Linked DNA regions of Macaca fascicularis. The protein of the gene in region 3 interacts with the protein of the main gene of each other region in a pairwise test. Links are inferred from orthologs where the notes say so. Each region holds a gene or a part of one and is shown on either strand. Other genes may lie near its edges. The genes, in order: RIC8A, SH2D4A and NUTM1.

Region 1 (4,329 bases), on a different chromosome or scaffold from region 3:
CCGCTCTCCCGCGCTCACCCCGAGCCCAGTCCGCCATCGTGCCCTGCCCCGGCTCCTCGACGCCAACACCGACGCGGCCACAGCCGCCTCAGACGTGGCGCAGTCACGGGGAACGGGCTTCCGGCCCCGCCCCCCGCCAGCGATGGCCCCGCCTCCGCGCCAACCACGCCCCTAGATGGCGTCGGGCTCGCTGATTTCCGGCTTAGGCCCGAGGGTGGGGAACCGCGGGGTCGCGGAAGCGATGGGCGTCGCTGTGACTTATTTTCAGCACTGTCGCCCAGGCAGTGGCGCGATCTCAGCTCACTGCAGCCCCCGCCTGCCGGGCTCCCAAGGTGCTGGGATTACAGCAGCACCGCGGATGTGACGTTTGTTTGTTGTTCCTGTGAACGTGGGGCGGGGCGGGGCCGTTTGCTTGCTCAGTGCCAAGACGATGGTGGTGGAAAGACGCTGCCATGCGTTAGGTCCTAACGGTTAGGAAGGATTCACAGGCGGGTCATGAGGGAGGAGTAGGCCCCTCGGGCAGAAGCCCGCGAGGAGCCCTGGGTGTGGAGGGGGCAAGGGTGCCTCCTCTGTCAAGTGGAGATCGGCGCCTCGCTAGTGCCTGCGAGTGCGCGCCGCGTCGAATACAGGTGTGCGGAAAGCGCTACAGGAAAGTGAAGCAGGGAAAGAGACTGGGAGGCGGCACGGGGAGTGGGGGCCGTAGACGCCTTTGCTCCCGGGCACTTGTTACAAGAGCCAGTGGACCGCGCTTCCTGTGCGTCACTGAATCCTCCTGATGGCCACTGAAACGGACACGCAGGATCTTTGCTTGTCAAGAGGGAACTGAGTCCAGGCCAGACTGCGTTGCTCCCCTTTCTCTCGGCCCCTCACGGCCCTTCCACCTTTGCAAGTGCTGCTCCTTCTGCCTGGAGTGGCTCCTCCAGTCTTTTCCCGGCTCGCTTCCCATCGTCCAGTGTTAGCAAAAACACCACTGCCTCACAGCCCTTGCAGCCCAGCAGTCACCTTTTGCTTCTTTTGAAGCACAGCCCTGTGACCGCCTCATGTCCTTTTGTTTTTCCTTGTCTGCCTTCCCCTCTGGAACATAAGCTCCACAAAGGCAGGGGCCTGGGAGTCCCGTTCGCTTGCATTCCCCAGCAAACGCCTAACGAACCCAATGGCCCGGGACTGAAAAGTCCTTTCCACTTCGGCTTTCCCGTCTACATCCCATCGGTTCTGTGGAGCTCGAGGGGCGTCACTGTGTGTGTGGCAGGGCGCGGTGGGGGCTGAGATCCTTTCCTGTTGGAAATTCCGGCCCAAGAAGCCCCGGTCACAAGGAGGGGGATCAGTCCGGTTCAGGGCGACTTGGCCCGACTCGGGTCTTCCGAGCCGCCAGTGCTGCCTCAGGCCGCGCCCCCTTGAAGCGCCACCAGACGCCGCGTCCCGTCCCGGCCTCCCCCGCGCGCTGGCGCGGGGCTTTCTGGGCCAGGGCGGGGCCGGCGAACTGCGGCCCGGAAAGGTTGAGGAAGGGCCCGTCCCGCCTTCCCCGCGCCGGGTTCCGGGGGCGCCATGGAGCCCCGGGCGGTTGCAGAAGCCGTGGAGACGGGGAAGGAGGATGTGATTATGGAAGCTCTGCGGTCGTACAACCAGGAGGTGAGCGGCCGCCTGAGGCCGGGGGGCGGGCACGGAGGGGGTGGGGCAGGGTCGTGCGCGGGTGGTCGGGACGGTGTGGGTGAGGCAGGGGTTGTGTCAGCAAGCAGAGGGGACGCGGCGGCGTGGGGGTGGCACGTCAGGGATGCAGTGTTGGGGGGAGAGTGTCTGGGGTGCACCCGTTGGGTGGCAGGTGTGTAGGGATGGGGGCGAGTGTAGACCCTGCCACCCCTTCTGAGCAGTGGCTGCTGCCTGAGTTAGAGGCCAATAGGCCGCCCCCCGTCAGCGGGCGCGGATACTGCCCCTCTGTGGACTTGAATTCACTCGTTCTCTCTGCAGCACTCCCAGAGCTTCACGTTTGATGATGCTCAACAGGAGGACCGGAAGGTGGGTGCTGGCCCGAGGGGTAAAGGGACAGGGACGGGTGGCCCCAGGAAGAGGGGCCTGGTGGAGCCGCTCGTCTCCCTGCCCACAGAGACTGGCGGAGCTGCTGGTCTCCGTCCTGGAACAGGGCTTGCCACCCTCCCACCGGGTCACCTGGCTGCAGAGTGTCCGAATCCTGTCCCGGGACCGCAACTGCTTGGACCCGTTTACCAGCCGCCAGAGCCTGCAGGCACTGGCCTGCTATGCTGACATCTCTGGCTCTGAGGGGTCCGTCCCAGACTCCCCCGACATGGATGTTGTACTGGAGTCCCTCAAGTGCCTGTGCAACCTCGTGCTCAGCAGCCCTGTGGCACAGATGCTGGCAGCAGAGGCCCGCCTAGTGGTGAAGCTCACAGAGCGTGTGGGGCTGTACCGGGAGAGGAGCTTCCCCCACGATGTCCAGTTCTTTGACTTGAGGCTCCTCTTCCTGCTAACGGCACTCCGCACCGATGTGCGCCAGCAGCTGTTTCAGGAGCTGAAAGGAGTGCATCTGCTGACTGACACACTGGAGCTGACGCTGGGGGTGACTCCTGAAGGGAACCCACCCAAGCTCCTTCCTTCCCAAGAGACTGAGCGGGCCATGGAGATCCTCAAAGTGCTCTTCAACATCACCCTCGACTCCATCAAGGGGGAGGTGGACGAGGTGAGCCCTGACCTCAACCCATGGATGGGTCTCAACTCAGCTCCAACATTTCCTGGACCTGCTTCCCACTGGGTACCTTCAGGTTTCTGGGTGTCAGACATGGAGAGAACAGGACCTCCCAGCGTGTTGGGACAAGGCCAAGGAGATGCCAGTTCTGGGCTGGGACCTTAGGGGAGGATTCTGAGGGAAGTAGAGGCCCCTTCTGGCTCTTGCTGCCTGGCAGGGGGCTGTGTGCTCTCCGGGGAGACTGTAAGAGATCCTCCACCATGAGGCTGTGAGTGGGGCTGAGACAAGAGTGTGACTTCATCCCAAGGGTGTGTGTTAACATTCCTAATCAGGGACGTGCTCTTAGAAGAATACTCATGGAGTTTTTAGGAAGACAGCGGTGGTCATCTTTTGCCCCCAGCACTAGCCAGAGTCACCTAGGAGACCCCAGGGGACCAAGTGTGCAGTACAGGAGGTGCACAGTCATTGCCACACAGTTCTGGAGTGCAACAGACAGTAGAGCCTCAGCAGGCAGCAGTGGGATGAGTGGGGCTCCTCACAGGAACCCTTCTTTCTTTGGTCAGGAAGACGCTGCTCTTTACCGACACCTGGGGACCCTTCTCCGGCACTGTGTGATGATTGCTACTGCTGGAGACCGCACAGAGGAGTTCCATGGGTGAGGATGGGGCTTTTTCTGGGAGGGAAGTGTGTCCACATGTTTAGATGGTCATCCTCAGCCCTGGCTGTGAACCAGAACCACCTGAGAGCCCAGGCCCCACCCTAGAGGGTCTGACTTTGTCTGGGTGAGTGAGACTGGACATCGGTGTGTTTCCAGAGAATACTGGGTGCTTCTAATATGTGGCCAGGACAACAGCCATGAATTTGGGGGCAGGAATGTGCCACCTGGGCCTTGGGTAGTGGCAACAGACAGTGTGGTATTTACTAGGGCACATTGGCTCCTTGTCCCCATTCTTGGTCCACCTGCCCCTTGGCTGGTGTGGTTTCCAGAGATGGTCTGGCGCTTTGGCCCAGACAGGGTAGGGGAGGCAGGGTGTCTCAGCCCCCACTTCCCCAGGGGACCCCACTGTACAGCTGAGTGGCAGTGCCTCTCAGATCAGTCCCTGCCCTTGGCTTTGGTCCCCAGTGCCGCCCCTTTGGGCCTCAGACGCCAGCTCATGTAATGTGTGGTTCAGTGGGGGCACAAAGATTGCATCTGTGCTGAGGGATTAGCCCTATTGAGACCCCCACCTCCATCTGTCCTCAGCCACGCAGTGAACCTCCTGGGGAACTTGCCTCTCAAGTGTCTGGATGTTCTCCTCACCCTGGAGCCACACGAAGACTCCGTGGAGTTCATGGGAGTGAATATGGATGTGATTCGTGCCCTCCTCATCTTCCTAGAGAAGCGTTTGCACCAGGTAGGCTGGGGATGGCTGTACAGGCTCCCCCAGTGGCTCTGGCACTGGTTCTCCTGCACAGCTGTGGTCAGTGCTTCTCCACTGGCCACATTGGTAAGTGGAAATCATCTTGGTGGTGTGATACAGGCGATTCTTCCGGCTGTTCTGTGGTCCAGCCTGGCAACAAGCTAGACCCTTCCTTCATGAGAAGCATGTGGACACCTTCCACACACTTGAAGGTTTCACTTCTTAAATCTT
Region 2 (3,601 bases), on a different chromosome or scaffold from region 3:
CTCTCTCAAACTACCAGAGATTCCTTTGGTAATGAGGAAAAGTTTACATCTGAAAAACTCATTCACACTAAAAAAAGATAGTATTATGATTATTTTCCTTACAGCAGTTCCTTACATTTTAAGAGAGGGTGTTCCCTAAAAAGATACCTCAAAGAAAAATCTCTGAGGTCTAAGAAATGTAAACACAATTGCTATAAATATATTGATATAAGAACTTTGTGTTCTGGTAGTAGAATATAAGGAATCAGTAACAATAAAGGAGATAGAAACCTTTCTTAATACCCCTCAAATCAAACTCCATAGGTGACTTTTTACTACAGCTTCAGGTTAGTCTCATTTCAAGTAAGAGATTTCCTCACAGTTATGCAACTCCATGGTGAATGCTGTGTGTGTGTAGACTTCAAGCAGATATACTGCACTACTGGATTCTCAGTAACATTTAGGATTCATCTACCAAACTGGAACTTGCACTTGCTTTGCTTGTGATTAGTTTGAAATTGTCAAAGCCAGCCAGGAGTTATTCTACCAACACGTTCACAAAAGAAACGTGGCTAAGTTTACCTTTCTTTGGTCTGGGTTTCACTGGCAAGGACTCCTTTCTTTCCATAGCTGCTTCTCTTTCTTTCCATCGTCGGATCTGTTCCTCTCTCATCTTGAAGAACAGGATCTGTTTCTGTTCTTCGCTGAGCTCTGCCAGTAGATCGGGATCTATGTACATCTCCGACAGTATCTGTTTCAGCATCTTTGCAGTTCTGGAGTCTTTTATACCTGTGGCAAAAGTTCCTGAAACTGGCCTCCAGGTGTCCCTCCACCTGTGCTGGCACTTGGGCGTGTCCACAAAACTTCCCGAACAGCTCACAATCCTGGCTGACTGGGGCAATAATTCAGCAAACTGGCTCCTGAGACCTGGCACCAAATGTCCGGTCCAAAATGCTGTTCACTGAACCTACAGAGAGAAAGAGCCCGCATTCAGGTGGCATGTTAAAATGTGTGGACGCTGGCTAGGACGGGTTAAAAAAAAAAAAAAAAGCCAGGAGGAAATACAGTATCACTTTTCATTTCAGGGAGAAAACAGAAAAAGAAAACCTGAGGCACACTTTGTTAAGAGTTTGTGTAACTTCTATCCTATAATTTCTAAAGATACTTTGTCAAAAAAAAGAAAACAAACCCTAACTTTATACAGGTCAATCTCAGGGAAACAAAAAAAGTTCACAGAGGTTTGTCCTGCTCCCAACTAAGCAAACACATGATTACCCCAGAGCCTAACAAACCACCAACTGTGTGGCTGAAAAAAGAAAGGCAAAAAGAAAGGTCACAGGAAGAAATTAAAAGGCTCTCTGCAAAGTACCTATTTCAAAAGAAAATACCATTTTTGAGATGTCACAGAGTAACTCACCCCAAACCAAACCAAAATAGAGCCATGTTCAAGGAAGAAAAAGGAAGAAATAAAAACTAGACCACCATGCAATTTCTGCAATTTCCCTAAAAAGTAGCATTAAATAAACATAATTATGTACTTTCCTCTTCACAAAAGGATAATGTAATTTCCAGGCAACCTACTAGAGCCATGAAAATCAGGGCAGGTGCAAGAGAGAACATCCGTCTACATTCTGGAAGGTCACCGAGTTTTAGGTGTGCTTTTACTAGATAACCTAGTTTAATAAAATCTAAATGGACAGACCAGATAAACTAGCGGGATGAAGAGGTCATTAGGTTCATAACAAAGGATCCTTGATTTATATGAGTTTACTGCATGGCTCCGTGAAAGAGAAACCATAAATCGAGTGTGCACAGTGGCCTCCTAGAGGTTCTCCTGGGGTTGGAAATCCCACTGAGGTTTCATTCTGCTTTCCACATTTCTATTTGGTTGGCTTAAAAATATTACCACACTGTCATACTTTTTCTCTCTATTTTTAAACAATTTCTAAGTCTCATAAACCATCATACTTTTGTAATCAGAAGGAAACTATGTAAATATTTCTATTCTGGAAAACAAGACTTTGGATTCGATGTAGTACGATGTAAGAAAAAAAACTTACTACAACTTTTCAGAATCACATGTGTCCTAAGAAATTCACCAATAGACTAGGCATGGTGGCTCACACCTGTAATCCCAGCACTTTAGGAGGCCAAGGTGGGTGGATCACGAGGTCAGGAGTTCGAGACCAGTCTGACCAATATGGTAAAACTCCACCTCTACTAAAAAAACAAAAAATACAGAAATTAGCCAGGCATGGTAGTGGGCACCTGTAATTCCAGCTACTCGGGAGGGTGAGACAGGAGATCGCTTGAACCCGGGAGGCGGAGATTGCAGTGAGCCGAGATCGCGCCACTGCATTCCAGCCTGGGTGACAGAGACAGACTCCATCTCAAAAAAAAAAAAAAAAAAGAAAAGAAAAAATAAGAAATTGACCAATAATTTGTTGTTTACAGTAACACCTCAATAATCTTACCACCTTGCCATGTGCTCTCAAATATCTTGTTTCTCCATACTATATTCAAACACTCTTAAACTTTAGACAAGTCACTTAGCTATATTATGGCCATCGTAGTGTTGGTTTCTCTTCGTTTACCTTGTCATTGATACAGCTAGATTTGTAATGCTTCTCTCACCACCTGGGGGCCTCCTTCAGCTTCCTGTCTTCCTCCTCTTCCTTGCAAAGTTGTTCCTTGATGTACATCTGTCTTTTGAGACGAGCACGCTCAATAGCTAGGCTACCACAGAATGGTGTGCATACGCAGCACTCAGATTCGCTGACTGTTCATTGCAAAGCCAGACCCTTGATGAAACTACACCTATCCCTACTGACTGCAACCTATCATCTCAGCAGCATTCAACCACCGGAATTCAAATGGAACCAAATATTAAGAGAAAACTTTTAAAGGACTAAAAGTAATGTCACGCCCCCTGCCAGGTCCCCTTGCTAACTTTGTATTTTGCATGGAGATACCCTTAAAGGCTTGAACAGTCAAAAAAATGGATGTCTTGTAATGATTTCTTGACTGTTTCTAGCAGCTTCTGAAGGGGTGGAGCCAATGAAATCCACAAGCTCCAAGATAAAGTGGTAAGAAACGACACGGAATGACTCCTTGACATTCCAGTAAATGTCTTTATGTTCTGTGGTTGGCTTTCGCAGAAATCACACATGGCAGAAAATGAACAGTTCAGTTAGGGTTGAGACTTCCGCTCTGTTCCCCATTTTCAATGCGGTGAGTCCTATTCAAGGCGTGGGTAGAGCCTAAAATCTAAAACCCTTAAAGCGCCAAAGTCACATTCCTACTGTCTCCCCCGCCCTGCATATTCCTGATAACACAGCTAACACTTCTCGTACCAGGCACCATCTTAATTAAGCACTTTACCTGTGTTAACTCGCTTAATCTTCATAATAACCCTTCGAGTCCAGCCCATCACTGTGCTCATTTCACAGATTAGGAAGACAGAGCACAGGTCAGCAGCTGGTAAGCGGCAGAGCCGGGCAGTCCAGCTCTAAGTCAGCTTCACTGTAATCCACAGCACAGAGGCCTTTTTGTGAGTTTATTTGTGTGCCCAGAATCAGAACAGCAGGATGTGGCGCCATGTATGAAATTTCAGAATGGAAGC
Region 3 (4,106 bases):
ACTAATAAAAATACAAAAATTAGCGGGACGTGCTGGCGGTCACCTGTAGTCCCAGCTACTCGGGAGGCTGAGGCAGGAGAATCGCTTGAACCCGGGAGGCGGAGGTTGCAGTGAGCTGAGATCACGCCACTGGTCTCCAGCTTGGGTGACAGAGCAAGAGACCCTGTCCCAAAAAAAAAAAAAAAAGATATGGTTTGTATTTACTTGTAGTTGAATAAAAAATCTCTGCAATTATTCACAAGAAACAGATGATACTGGTTTCCTCTGAGATAGAGAACCTAGTTACAGGAGAAAGGGGTAAGGGGTGGGAGGCAGACTTATTGCTATGTATTTTATTTTGTAGTTTGATTTTTGAACCTTGCTAATGTATTACCTGTTAAAAATTTTTTAAAGGCCGGGCGCGGTGGCTCATACCTCTAATCCCAGCACTTTGGGAGGCCGAGGTGGGTGGATCATGAGGTCAGGAGATCGAGACCATCCTGGCTAACACAGTGAAATCCCGTCTCTACTAAAAATAGAAAAATTAGCCGGGTGTGGTGGCGGGCGCCTGTAGTCCCAGCTACTCAGGAGGCTGAGGCAGGAGAATGGTGTGAACCCGGGAGGCAGAGCTTGCAGTGAGCAGAGATCATGCCACTGCACTCCAACCTGGGCGACAAAGCAAGACTCTGTCTCAAAAAAAAAAAAAAAGTATGTCTAAGTAGTTAATTTTGTTAGAAAGGAAAAGGATGATTTCAGCCTTCAGGTCTTATTAATGAAAGAGTCTTTAGAAAAGAGAAAAGATATCTCAGAGAAAGCAAGAAAGACGCCATGAACCCCAGGGAAGGTCTTTTGGGGGAAATCCACGTTTGGATGAAGCTGTGGCTGTAGAGGATGGTCTGGGAATTACTGGCCTGAAATAGTCACCAGGAACCTTAGCAGATACATTTTATTTTTAAAATTTAAACCAAAATAATTTAACAAAACGAAGGACTTTCTACTCTTGAGGTTTTAAACTGCATGGCAGCTTTTTTATTTAGTGAGGCTTTTCAGCAAAGGGTAAGGCTTCTGTGGAGTACAGAGCCTATGCTAGTAGATTGGACAGCTTTCCAAGGAAATGATGTGCACACAGCAATTGAGCACCTTGGATCATCTGACAATTCTAATTTTAGACTTTAGTTCCCTTGATCCTTAAGTATACAGACCAATGTGGTCTGAATTTAGTTCAGAAAATATAGCCATCATTGGATTAAGTCAGGGGTCTACCATCGACCTGCTGTTAATAGGAAGTCAGTTACAGAACTGGCTGGGATGGAAGGACACAAAATGAGATATGTTGGTGAAGAATTGAAGTATAGGGAACCAAACTCAAAACTGTAATGTGTTGGGAATCTGAGAAAGAATTTACAAATAGCCCTAAAGGGCGAACATCAGTTGTGTTGCCAAACTGTAGTTTGAAGGGAATTCCTGGTTTTTGCGTAGTTACTAGAACCCTTCATGGAATATCTCTCCCCACCCTCACCCCACTTTCCCCTCTCCCCTCCCCCACAGCAGACTGCCTTGAGTTCCATATTCTAGTTCTGTTTGATCTGATCTTTACCTTCCCTTCCTTGGATCCCTGTGCACCTACTTGGAGCCAGGTTACTCTGGGTCCTGGACCTGACTGCCTCATTCTGGAGGCTTCCAGACAGCCACGGTTAGTGCCCAAAGCTGAGAGGATGGCTTCAGATGGAGGTAAGTCTTTAGGTGGTGAGGAGGATTTCTGGTACCTGCTCAAATCCTTTGGGACAAGCTCTTTGGGCTGACCTAAAGGAATGCGAGGTGCTACACCCCATCAAAGGTATCCCACTTGGGGAGGCTAGAGAAGGAGACTGTACCATTAAGACTAGGGGCCGGGGAAGGAAGAGGACCTCCTTAAGGGCAGATCAAGGTGTCTCCGAGGACACATGCTGAGTATAGAGAATGGATGGCAATTAGCAACTTGATTCTCTTGAACAGGGGGCACGTCAGCGTGTGTTCTTGTGGTGGGAGAGGGGATCAGAGGTATGTGTCTTAGGACTGGCACCGAGAGGTTTCAAGGGGGAATGCCCACGTTCATTCATCTGTCTCTTTCAGGCAACTGGAGCCTATTCTAGGATTTTGCCATGCTTGAGCCTATGAGGGGAATGGGATGTGGAGGATGGAGGATGGGAGGGTAAGGTGGGAAGGACTTTAGCGGGAAAACATAATCTGTAGTTATCCGTTGCAGAGAAATGCCTTCCTGAAAACTAGGCTGGAATGTATTATAAACTGCCTCTACTCTGGCCGGGCACGGTGGCTCATGCCTGTAATCCCAGCACTTTGGGAGGCCGAGGCGGGCGGATCACCTGAGGTCAGGAGTTCAAGACCAGCCTGACCAACATGGAGAAACCCCATCTCTACTAAAACTACAAAAAAAAAAAAAAAAAAAAAAAAAAAAAGCCGGGCATGGTGGCGCATGCCTGTAATCTCAGCTACTCGGGAGGCTGAGGCAGGAGAATCCCGTGAACCTGAGAGGCAGAGGTTGTGGTGAGCCAAGATTGTGTCATTGCACTCTAGCCTAGGCAACAAGAGCGAAACTCGGTCTCAAAAAAAAAAAAAAAAGAAAAATCCTGCCTCTGCTCAGAGCCTCACGGCTCCTTCCAGCCCTAGAGGTGGCTTCGCTTTGAGTTCAGGAAGCAGTTTTTCCGGATTCATCCGGGCCAGAGAGGTGGGTCATTACAGCCAGGATGAGATCTGGGGCTTCACCGAGATGCTCTTAGTTTTTCTTCCTTTTATGGATCTCAGGCCTTCAGGCCCCTTTCATTGTGTTCTGTACTCAGCGACATACCCTCAGCCCTTTGCTCTGTGGCTGAAATGAGTTTGAATCTGAGTTTGCTTGTGTGCCATGGTCAGAATGCAGAAGTTGGGTGTTGTTAGTTTGACAGTGTAATATTTTTTGTAAGGGGGAGGAGATTTAAGCAGGTGATATTCTGCTGTTGTTTTCCTGTTTTGTTTTTTTGTTTGAGATGGAGTCTCACTGTGTCGCTTACGCTGGAGTGCAGTGGTGTGATGCTAGCTCACTGCAAAGTCTGCCTCCCGAGTTCAAGCAATTCTCTTTCCTCAGCTTCCTGAGCAGCTGGGATACAGGCGCCCACCACCACACCCAGCTAATTTTTGTATTTTTAGAGAGACGGGGTTTCACCAAGTTGGCCAGGCTGGTGTCTAACTCCTGACCTCAAGCGCCTGTAATCTCAGCACTTTGGGAAGCCGAGGGAGGTAGATCACTTGAGGTCAGGAGTTCAAGACCAGCCTGGCCAACATGGTGAAACCCCATCTCTACTAAAAATACAAAAATTAGCTGGGTGTGTTGGCGCCCGCCTGTAATCCCAGCTACTAGGGAGGCTGAGGCAGGAGAATCGCTTGAACCCAGGAGGCAGCAGAGGTTGCAGTGAGCTGAAATCGCGCCACTGCACTCCAGCCTCGGTGACAGAGACTCTGTCTCGGGGAAAAAAAAAAAGTCCTAGGAGACATAGGTTCTGATTAAGTACACATTTGTATACTTATCCTTGGTCTCTTTGACTAGAGTCCACATAGCCCCTCCCCAGCTGGAACCAGTGACAATGAAGGACTTCATTGTCCTGTCCTTAGCACCTAGCTCAGTGCCTCGTTCCTAGTGAGCCCTAAATTTCTGATGTTAGGAGCTCCAAGCAGAAGGGCCACAGATAGTCTGCATCGCCAAACACGTCCAGCAGTTACTTAAAGATCTGGAAACCTCTCTCCCCACACCGCCCTCCCTTCACTCATTTCCTTGTCCTTATCTAATCCTCTCTAATTATTCCTGGCTGTTATACAACAAAATTTCTGGGAACCAAACATCCAATCCACATATCCTCTCCTGGGAACAGTACTTCTGTGCGTGGTGGCAGAGGCCACAGAGCAGCTGGGAGAAGCAGGGTTCAGGTGGTTTGAGTCTCTGGTTTGGAATAGGTGAGCATAGGGGATGTACGTGGAATGCTGGGTGGAATGTGTTACAGGATGTCTGAGCTTCATGGGCTCATGCTCCTGCTTATAGATTGAATCTTTCTTCTGTTGTTTTAGGTTAAGAGAGATTTATAAGAAGCAACAGGAAA

Evidence for each region.
Region 1: the proteins of NUTM1 (region 3) and RIC8A interact in binary tests that used the Homo sapiens proteins (3 or more experiments, as listed by UniProt). The link is inferred for Macaca fascicularis from reciprocal best matches to the Homo sapiens genes NUTM1 and RIC8A.
Region 2: the proteins of NUTM1 (region 3) and SH2D4A interact in binary tests that used the Homo sapiens proteins (3 or more experiments, as listed by UniProt). The two-hybrid records come from large-scale screens. The link is inferred for Macaca fascicularis from reciprocal best matches to the Homo sapiens genes NUTM1 and SH2D4A.

Annotation. Positions count from the first base shown.
Region 1 is NC_088388.1:88,518-92,846, forward strand, and holds the start of RIC8A (chaperone Ric-8A), read left to right. Parts: upstream 1-1,463; 5' UTR 1,464-1,545; coding exon 1,546-1,629; intron 1,630-1,965; coding exon 1,966-2,013; intron 2,014-2,101; coding exon 2,102-2,692; intron 2,693-3,261; coding exon 3,262-3,353; intron 3,354-3,941; coding exon 3,942-4,092; intron 4,093-4,329. Other genes in the region: BET1L (BET1-like protein), read right to left, coding at 19-37.
Region 2 is NC_088382.1:22,384,234-22,387,834, reverse strand, and holds part of SH2D4A (SH2 domain-containing protein 4A), read right to left. Parts: intron 947-3,601; 5' UTR 743-946; coding exon 562-742; intron 1-561. UniProt on the Homo sapiens protein: Inhibits estrogen-induced cell proliferation by competing with PLCG for binding to ESR1, blocking the effect of estrogen on PLCG and repressing estrogen-induced proliferation. May play a role in T-cell development and function.
Region 3 is NC_088381.1:10,631,823-10,635,928, forward strand, and holds the start of NUTM1 (NUT family member 1), read left to right. Parts: upstream 1-1,305; 5' UTR 1,306-1,355; coding exon 1,356-1,710; intron 1,711-4,106. UniProt on the Homo sapiens protein: Plays a role in the regulation of proliferation. Regulates TERT expression by modulating SP1 binding to TERT promoter binding sites.